3 linked regions of the Rattus norvegicus genome follow. The protein of the gene in region 3 interacts with the protein of the main gene of each other region in a pairwise test. Links are inferred from orthologs where the notes say so. Each region holds a gene or a part of one and is shown on either strand. Other genes may lie near its edges. The genes, in order: Mob3c, Atox1 and Fam118a.

Evidence for each region.
Region 1: the proteins of Fam118a (region 3) and Mob3c interact in binary tests that used the Homo sapiens proteins (3 or more experiments, as listed by UniProt). The link is inferred for Rattus norvegicus from reciprocal best matches to the Homo sapiens genes FAM118A and MOB3C.
Region 2: the proteins of Fam118a (region 3) and Atox1 interact in binary tests that used the Homo sapiens proteins (3 or more experiments, as listed by UniProt). The two-hybrid records come from large-scale screens. The link is inferred for Rattus norvegicus from reciprocal best matches to the Homo sapiens genes FAM118A and ATOX1.

Annotation. Positions count from the first base shown.
Region 1 is NC_086023.1:134,549,300-134,552,556, reverse strand, and holds the end of Mob3c (MOB kinase activator 3C), read right to left. Parts: intron 3,062-3,257; coding exon 2,859-3,061; intron 2,610-2,858; coding exon 2,580-2,609; 3' UTR 540-2,579; downstream 1-539. UniProt on the Homo sapiens protein: May regulate the activity of kinases.
Region 2 is NC_086028.1:40,067,671-40,070,595, reverse strand, and holds part of Atox1 (copper transport protein ATOX1), read left to right. Parts: intron 1-1,684; coding exon 1,685-1,809; 3' UTR 1,810-1,853; exon of another isoform or gene 1,854-2,925. UniProt on the Homo sapiens protein: Binds and deliver cytosolic copper to the copper ATPase proteins. May be important in cellular antioxidant defense.
Region 3 is NC_086025.1:118,049,274-118,052,930, reverse strand, and holds part of Fam118a (protein FAM118A), read right to left. Parts: intron 3,151-3,657; coding exon 2,865-3,150; coding exon of another isoform or gene 2,812-2,864; exon of another isoform or gene 1,314-2,811; coding exon 1,281-1,313; exon of another isoform or gene 1-1,280.

The sequences.
Region 1 (3,257 bases), on a different chromosome or scaffold from region 3:
CTCTGCCTCCTAGGTAGAGTCCCTGCTGGCTCTTTTGAAGATATAAGAGGACCTTTGTTAAATCTCCAGGACCAAGCTGCTTTTAACTCCTACTTGGGAGGCTGTGGTTGGGGACAGTGACTTCTAGCTGTCTACTGGGGAAGATGCTCTGGACTGAAAGGGGTTTCTTGTTCTGTGATTGGAGTTGTGGCTGTATTTCCTACTATGTTTTTAGCCATCGGTTCCTCCAAACCACCATGAATATGAACTGGGATTGCCAGTGTCAAAACAAGGAAAGATTTCCCCCTCCCAATGAGTACCTTGAAGGCAAAGTCCTGCACTGTCCTCCCATCCCCTGCTCAAGCTTCTAACTTAGCTTAGTCTACAATTTGGAGCCCTGGGAGTATTTGGGTGTCCTCACACTGGGAAGCTAGTCAGTCATGACTGCGCTCATATGGTTTAGGAGTTTAGGACAGAATGCCTTCTTAGTCCCACTTGTGGTCTCTCCTGTGATCCGCAAAGACCCATGTGGCACCCAGAACACTGCTTCCCACCAGTGGTTGCTTTAGTTTGTATCTTTTATTTTACCAAAAAATAGCAAAATCTTTCCTCTTTCACAAAAATAGATTTCCCTCCCCACCCCTATGGTCCCTTTTCACAGCCTAGATTTCAGAATATATTCTGCAGCCCATCGTGGGGGAATCTCCTACTGTCCTCAGTTCTGAGACACTGCCAAGGCTGCAGGCCAGCATGTTTCCCTTGGGGACATTCCAGGTCCTGTTGCCCTAGAGAGCCCCAGTTGTCTCTCTGGAAGGCAAGGCAGTTCCTCAGACATAAGAAGGGGCCTGGTTTTGGAGGTTTGCCTCAGCATCCAACTCTAGCCAAACGCAGGGTGTGGCAGGGCTTCCTGGCAGCAGGCTAGAAATCGTTACTCAAAGCAGAAACAGTTGTGTCCCGGAGAGTGTCTGACGACTTCTCTTTGCACGTGCATCTTGGTGTCACAATCAGAAGGCCTGAGAGTAGAAGTCAAGAAGAGCCTTGGAGTTTTAACGGGTTTCAGTTTCCTCTGATGCAAGCTGAGAGACAGTGACAATATTCTTGTGTGACTTCTTATTCCCATCCTGGCCTTTGGGGATACAGGCTCTGAAAGGGCAAAACCTATTTCTGCCAGTCCCCCTACCTGTGAGTCTGTGTATAAGGCTCAGCATGGAGATACTGAGTAATGGCTACTGAGTGAGGATCCCAGCCCCTCAGATAGATGTGCTTGGAATTCAAGAAGCCTTGAATGTATCAGGAGGTTGGGCTGAGGCAGGTGTTTTTAGGATGGGAAGGTCTCCATCAGCTACATGATCCTCAGTTCCTGAGATAGAAGAAAAGACTCTGGATTCTCCAATTCAAGTTCCAGTGGCTTCCTGGTCTGGAGGGCTATTTTGTGCTGGCCTTAAGTCATGTCAGTAGGTTCTGGGTTTGAGATCGAAGTATCTTGTGTCCAAGTTTAAAATCCATGGGACCCTGAGGGATCAATCCCAACCCTCGAGAGGCTTACCATTTGGGCTTTTTTGTTTGTTTTTGAGACAGGGTTTCTCTATGTAGCCCTGGTTGTCCTTGAACTCACTCTGTAGATCAGGCTGGCCTCGAACTCTGAGATCCAACCTGCCTCTGCCTCCTAAGTGCTGGGAATAAAGGTGTGAGCCACCACCGCCCGGCTCAGAGGCTTAATGATAGCAGGCCCTTCTGGAGGCAGAGATGAGTGAATTGACAATTCATAGACATCCTTGGCTGAGCAAATCAGCCACATGGTGGTAGGTCAGAGATCTAATGAACTCAGGGCAAAGCTGCATTGTCTAACCTCCACTCAAATGCCAGGGACTCATGTTGGTAGGAGATGGCAGTCTAGAAGATTCAGAGGTATAATTCCATCCACACACACATTTTGTACACTTGTACACACGGTCAGGGTTGGGTCACTAAGCTGTCATTACTCCTATAATGGTCATGGACTTACAGTCAACCTGTCCATCCATCCATCCATCCATCCATCCATCCATCCATCCATCCATCCATCCATCATGAGGGCCTACTATGTGTCTGGAAGGACTTGGATCTCTCAGACAAATCCCACAACCAATCTCTCTCTCTCTCTCTCTCTCTCTCTCTCTCTCTCACACACACACACACACACACACACACACACACACACACACACACCTGCATGCTCAGGTACAGGCACTCACTCTATCATTTTCTTGCCATCACTTCGGCCACATCCATCTTCCCCGATGGATCTGGGACCCGTCATGGTAGGGTGGAAATGAAGTATCAGAACAGACACCTGTTTGCCTCACCCTACTCTTGGACTTAATATGAGGGACTAAACTCCTCCTTTTCTTCTATTGCCCACCTGAAGTCCTCCCTTCTCCATGCATTCTGGGACACACAGACAGACTTCTGAGAAGTCCAGAGGTGTTGGGTCTAGAGAGGGTGCCTGCTCTTCAGTAGGCCTTCACATTTCTCTGCCAGCAGGCTCCTAAGGGTCCCCTCTCCCAGCTGCGCTGTGTTCAGATGGTCCACCTGAGAGGCAACAACATCCAGATCTGGACTCAGTGACAGATCCGTTCTGTCATCTCCCTCTGTAGAGACACAAAGTAAGGAAGGGTTACTTTGACCTCAGCCTGCCGACGGGCAACTCCTTGTCAAATCACGGGGTTTACTGAGTCTGACCCCTCCCCAACCTCAGCTGCAACCATGAACACTGACATCTCCATGAATTCTCTGTAAGAGTACAGAATCCACTGTTAGACAAGTTGTCTCCCCTCATATATCCATCTGGGGATCAAGAGAGAGCACTGGCAGAGAAGGGTAGTGAGACATGGCCTTACCAGCGGCTCTAGTTCCCTCTGGTCCACCAGGCTGAACTCCTGGATGAAGTAGTAGAAGTGCTTATAGCAGGTGTTGACATGTGCCTCCGCCCCCATGCTGAGGATGCTGTCAAAGTGGTGGATGTAGACGTGGACAAAGACTCGGAAGAGTCTCGTCAGGATCTTGGTGCAGACCTGCTGGAAGTTCTTGGGGAAGGGAACTCCTAGGGATGGAGATGAGTGAAGAGGAATCAAAATCCTAGGGGCAAAACTCTGCCCCTCCCCACAGGCAGTCTTTACCCCTCTTCAGCACAGGACACAGACAGGCAGAGCAAGAGTTTGGCTGTGGGTTGGGGATTTAGCTCAGTGGTAGAGCACTTGCCTAGTAAGCGCAAGGCCCTGGGTTCGGTCCCCAGCTCC
Region 2 (2,925 bases), on a different chromosome or scaffold from region 3:
ACAGGTGACACAGAGAATCCCCATCTTAAAAAATGAAAACCACGAACAATCAAAAATAAACAAACTAAGAACTAGGCCTGTCATCACACTACACAGGAAGCTAAGACAGGAAAGTGACAAGCTCAGACCTCCCTGGACTTTAGAGTGAGTTTGCAGAATTCAGAGCTACTCTGGATAGCTTAGTGAGACCTCCTCAAAATAAAAAGTATCAAGAAACCTGGGGATGAATGAAGCTCAGTGACAGAGTGACAGAGCTGGGTGTGTCTGATGCCCTATGTACCAGTAACACACACACACACACACACACACACACACACACACACACACACACACACACACACAAAGACTAGGGAGCCCCAAGGCTCCAATGGTAGGATAGGCACGTGAGACCCAGTACCACATTAAGAGAGAGACAGAGACAGAGAGAGCACAAGCATTAGATACTCAGTGAGAAAGAGTGAGTTTATTTTGCCCTCTGACCATCACACACACACTCACACACGCACACACACTCACACACACACTCTCGCACACTCACACACACACTCACACACACTCACACACACACACTCACACACACTCACTCACACACATGCTCATTTTCCTCACTCACATGTACTCTCACTTATGCTCACTGACACACTATCTACCCTCCTTACACTCACATTCATCCCCCCATACGCTCACACACATACACACGCTTGTATACAGATTCTTTTCACACACTTGTTAACACACACTCACCTATGCTCTTATTAAAATATAATAAAATTTTGAAAAGAAATAAAAGGGATTGGAGATGAGAGCACTCACTGCCCCTGCAGAGGAGCTGGACTCTGATCTCAGCACCATACAGTGGTTCACAGCCCAGGGAACCGACGCTCTCTTCTGACCTCCATGGGCACTGCACCCGTGCGGTACACAGATATACGTGCAAGAAAGCACTCATATACATAAAAATAAGTAAATTGGGGGCAGAGAGGATGCCTCAATGGTTAAAGGTATGCACTTCTCTTTTTTTTTTTTTCTTTTTTTTCGGAGCTGGGGACCGAACCCAGGGCCTTGCGCTCGCTAGGCAAGCGCTCTACCGCTGAGCTAAATCCCCAACCCCGGTATGCACTTATCTTGTAGAGGACCTAGCACCCACATCTTGTGGCTCATACCCACTTAAAACTCCAGACCCTACACCTCTGGCCTTCAGGGACACCTCTACTCATGAACATACCCACACGCAGGCCCAAACATATACATAATTTTTTTAATGTTTTAAATAAGATTATAAAGAAAGGGAAGGAAGGCTCTGTGTTACTAAATTGGGAGGTTGGCGTGGGCATAGAAAAGTGAAGTAACAGTGATGGTAGGACTGGGGAAGTGGGGAGGAGGGAAAGAGAGGAAGGAGGGAAGAAAATTCACCTGTGGGGCTGAGGAAAGAGCTTAGGAGTGGAGTGCTCGACTGGGACTTGAAGCCTTGGATTCAAGCCCCATCCCCACAACTCCTTACACATGGATCAGAGCCTGCAGCAGAGCCTGCCATGCTCACGGTACCTAAAACAGAAAGAGCTTGCTGCTCCCTGGCTCCTGGAGAAGCCTGGTGTTTCAGGAATAATTTAGGAGGTTGACCTCTTTGTTCCAGTGAGTGGAGGGGTCCCGCTTCCCCCTCCTACATCCCTCCTTCTCCCTGCAGGAGTGGAGTTCAACATTGACTTGCCCAACAAGAAGGTCTGCATTGAGTCTGAGCACAGCTCAGACATCCTGCTGGCAACTCTCAACAAAACAGGAAAAGCGGTCTCCTACCTTGGCCCCAAGTAGCCAGGACCTGGGCGAGTCCTTCCGGATAGAAACTGAAGAGGCAGGTGGGTGAAGTCCAAACCATTGTCAAACAAGCCCGTTGCTTCTTCTGGGATCCCTCTTCTGAAAGACTTGAGCCCAGAAGCAGTTCAGACTGTAATTTGAGATTTGAAATCTTTGCCTAAATTCACCCAGAGGGCATCTGTAATAGAAAAACCCCAAACCTTCTCATCATTGAGTTGGCATGCTCTAGTTTTAGAGCACAGTGCAACTGGGATTCCTGGATTTGAGGTGCTCAGACTAAGCTTGGGCTTCTGGAGTTAGGTAGGAGGGTGCCCTGATGTGTTCAGCCCACTGCCCCACTCTGGAAGGGTCCAAGCACATCATTGTCCAGTACAAACGAGAAGTTCGGAGGGCTTGAAGGCCTCCTGGGAGCAGACAGAGCTCCATGTTATGTTCCCAGAGTCCCATGGTACCTTGCTTGGTCAGCGTGACTTAAGTTTAAAGTGTGTGACCCTTCTGGAATGGTGAGCCTCTTACTTTGGTGAAGGGACAGTCCCTTCACAGGGACGCCTATGTTCCAAGCCTGTCACTCCCGTGCATGAGTTCATGTTCACCCTGCCTTTCCTTCCACTTGGAGCCGGACGTGGATCCAGCCCAGCCTCGTAGAGCCAATGGCCCGTCTAAGCTGTCTTCCTTCCACCTTATGGGTCCCAGGGAGGCAGGAAGTGGACCAGTGCCAGTGCCCTTCCATCAGGAAGCAGGACAGTTGCCTGCCCACCTAGCACTCCTCATTGTGTCCAGCACTCTTGCAGTGTGCCTGACACATGAGTTACTGTGGTCACTTTGGTGGTTTGTGTCCTCTTTGGGACTGAGAAACATGAAGCCTGGTGAGTGCAAGCGTCCTGACCAGAGCCCCACGGAGGTGGGTGGCAGAGGAGGGAAGGAGCCAGGCCGTCTGAGCAAATGTGTGAATGATAGTTACAGTAGCACTAACTCTATCAGTGACCCATGAGGGCCCCTGGCAGATGCCAGCCGTAATCGACTGCGGGTAGGAGGTTCCCCTTTGAGTAAAGCGTCCTCCATTTTTTTTTTCCTTTTTTTCAGAGCTGGGGACCGCACCCAGGGCCTTGCGCT
Region 3 (3,657 bases):
CCATGGGATAGATCTACCTAAACCATTTGGGTCAGCTTGTACCTTGTGCCAGGAAGTGCAGCATACTTCTAGCAAGGCCACACTTCCCAAGCCTCCCAAAACACCACCACCAGCAGCTGGAGATCGAATGTTCAAATGCCTAGGATTTAGGGGAGATCTCTTATTCAAACAACCAATTCCAACAACCAAACATTCTCACTATACAGCACAGCATGTAACTCACACTGAGTCTGTACTGAATGGGCTGTAAGAAAGATTTGATTGGAGAACGGGGGGCGGGGCACTGGGAGCATGTATTTGAAAGGCATGTCTTGTCCCTGGCCTCTTCTCTGTACTCTGCTCTGTCTTATTATGCATAGGAAGAGAGCCATGTGACCACCTGCTGAAACCTAGTGAGTCCTTTCGTTTTCTAAAGTATTTTGTCACTGTGATGGAAAGCCTCCTCAGGCTGACCCACTATCATAGAATCTACTTCCAGGAGCCAGCTTCTGAACCTGACTTTATTGGGCACTGGCCAGGGTTTCCCTGCAGAGCACTGCATGTTTTATCAACTGAGTTACTGCTGCTTTCAAAGATTCTGGGAATCATATCTAAACTACAGCAAAAATATCCTTTTATGCAGACACGGAAAGCAGAATATAGTTCTTCCCACTCCTGGACTGAGTCAAGACTCCCACCACTGACTCAGACTGGCACTAGCTGTCCCTACACTGCCACACTCTGTCTGTCTGGACACACTGGCCCAACAGGCAGCAATGTCAGGGCTGACTAGAGCTCCTGCTCACTGACTGGAACCCCTTTTAGCCTGACTGACTCAGGCAGTAGAGACACCTGGTTAATTTGCCCTCTGGAAGATGCTGGTAGCTGTTGAAACATCAATTTTACAAACTCAGCAAGAGTGTTCACACTTCAAAAAAGTATTAAAAGAAAAAATTATATAGAAGTTCACACACTGCTAACGAACAGGTTACCCTAGATTACTGGATCCTTTACTGATAGCATAATACAAATAGAACATTTCTCTTATTTCCTGTGACTCTTGGTTCTAGGGCAGAATTTATTCTCTGCTGTCAGCAGACAGTCCATGACTAGGCTGTGCTTCCCAGTGGAGGGGATGGACTTTTGTGCCTTTACCGTAGTGGGGACCATCTAAAGGTAGAGGTATCTGTCCTTTCTGTCCTATTTAATAAGGCAAATTATTGAATGTAAGGTACATTTTCATGGTGATGAATAGAACATGCAAGCAAAAATCAGGTGAGAAAAGTCAAGATCTGCTTTACCCAGTAAGGTGGTACTGTCTACTCGCTCAGCATCTGAGAAAAAAAAGAAATAGTCAGTGGAGTCACAGCTTGGAGTATTCATCCTCCCCAGGCCTAGAATGATTGGCAAAGACTACCCTGAGGCCATCCACTGATTTGGCCAGGCTTCTATGGATTGGATACCATGGATCCCTGCCTGTCTCTCTCCCTTCTTCACCTGGCAGGATAGATGCCAGAACTCACTGAGTGGCATGGGAAGCTGCTGGGACTATAGACACAGTGAGGCACACATCACAACAGCTAATGCCACTTTCAGCCAGTAGGCATCCTTGCCCATCAAGAGAGAAAAGAAACTCAGATGTCCTTCAAGACAGGCACAGATGAAAGCCTCAATGACTTTTTACTCTTCTGGTAGCTGCCCGGTCCCGGAAAAGGAGCATCAGTGGTTCAATTGCTTCCTCTAGGTACCCACACTCAATGGCTGGATGCTGGGCTCCCAGGGAGTCATGATTATGGACAAGAAAGAGCTGGGAGATCTCAGAAGAGGGAGGTCTTGGAAGATCCATGCCCACATCTGGTACCAAGACATCTTTGTACATGTTAGTCCAGGATCAAATCCTAACTTCAAAGTTCTGGCACACACAGGGCAAATGTTCACCCCTCTCGGCTGATATCTCTAAAATCACCTAAATAACACAAGCACCGAATTAAAAACTAAGGGCAGTGGAACTTGGTATGCAGGCTACTATTCCCAGCACATGGGAGGCAGAGGCAAACAGGTCTTTATGAGTTCCAGGCCAGCATGATCTACATAGTGAGTTCTAGGACAGTCAGAGATCCATAGTGAGACTCTTGCCTCAAAGAAGATAATAAAGTGTTATTGTTCATGGCATGGCTCTATGACATGAATTCTCTGTTCCCACTCCCAGTAAGAAACTGACTACTATCTTGTTACACAGCTACTCATGATTTAAATCATCTACTAATTATTAGCAGCTAAAGTATGGGAAACTCATGGTTGCTCTACTGTGTCTGTCTCTCACTGGTGCTAACCTCATTCCACCCCTGGTGAGCATCTAGGTTCCCTGTCACCACAAAAAGCCAGTCAATACAGAACTTTCCACGCTTGCTATCACTCATGTTTTATGACACTGAAGTCAAAGCCATTAATTCCCTTGTGTAAAAGTGACTCATCAGCATTTCTCACTATCTGGTCTTTCCTGGCAAAGCTGTGACACCCTCCCCCTCCCAAGAAAGGCCAAAGAGCAGAAATGAGATGCTTCACACCCCAGAGAGATGTGCAGTGAGAGGGAAAAAATGGAAGCCTCATAAACTTTCCAACACACTATCACAGTCAGTAACACTGATCTGATGGCTTTTCTTGGCTACAGTAACCTGTAATTCGGATCACTGTGTCCCACGTTTGAAGCAAGTTCTCAAGTTCTACTTACAGATTGTTACCTATACCAATCACTCCATTTTCTACTTTTAAACTCAGAAGGATTAAAAATTAACTAGATTGGTAAATCTTATAGAATACAAGGTGGAACAGCTAAAGGAAGAACCCATGATTTCTGCTTGGAAAGTAATGACAGAACTCCGCACCTGGACTTCGCTGTTTGCAGATCTGAGTGGCGAGGTCTTGCACATATCCTGGGAAAAGTTCAAAACAGTCCCCATAGGACACTACTTTAATTCCATGCAAAAGCATATCTGCCTGATGCTTAAAGAAATGGTCTTCATTTTCCTTGAGCACTACCATGTAGTGCTCTAAGTCCACCTTATTTGGCACAGAGTACAAGAAGAGCGCTTGGAATATCTGGTCACGCAGTGTCTCTCCGCAGCCCACGAACAGGAATGATTTGGTACGGTAGAGATTTTGCAGGACTTCCTGGAGAAAGCCAATAAACAGAGGACACTCCAGTGAAAATCATCAGCAGGATCTCACAATTAACATAAAGGCCCCTGTGTTCATTTATATCTTATCTTGTACCCACCAGGCTTCCCAAGAGCCATACTGAGGAGTACTAGGAAGACTAGGAGCTCTTGACATACTCAGATCAACCCCATGCAGTGATCTGTGTGCAACCCTTGGTGAAGCTAGGCTGAGATCCATCTCTCAGCTAGGAAAAGAAAGAGAACCAGGAGAGGCAATGTACTGGCCAACCTGGGCAGCATGAATGCACCTCACAGTGAAGTCAGCTTATGGTAGACCTATGGCTCGCCAAGTCAACTCCTAGATTTATATACAATCTTAAGCCATAAAAGAACGGGGTTGGGGATTTAGTTCAGTGGTAGAACGCTTGCCTAGGAAGCGCAAGGCCCTGGGTTCGGGCCCCAGCTCCGGAAGAAAAAAAAAAGACATAAAAGAACATTAAAATGTTCTCAGTTCCCCTTG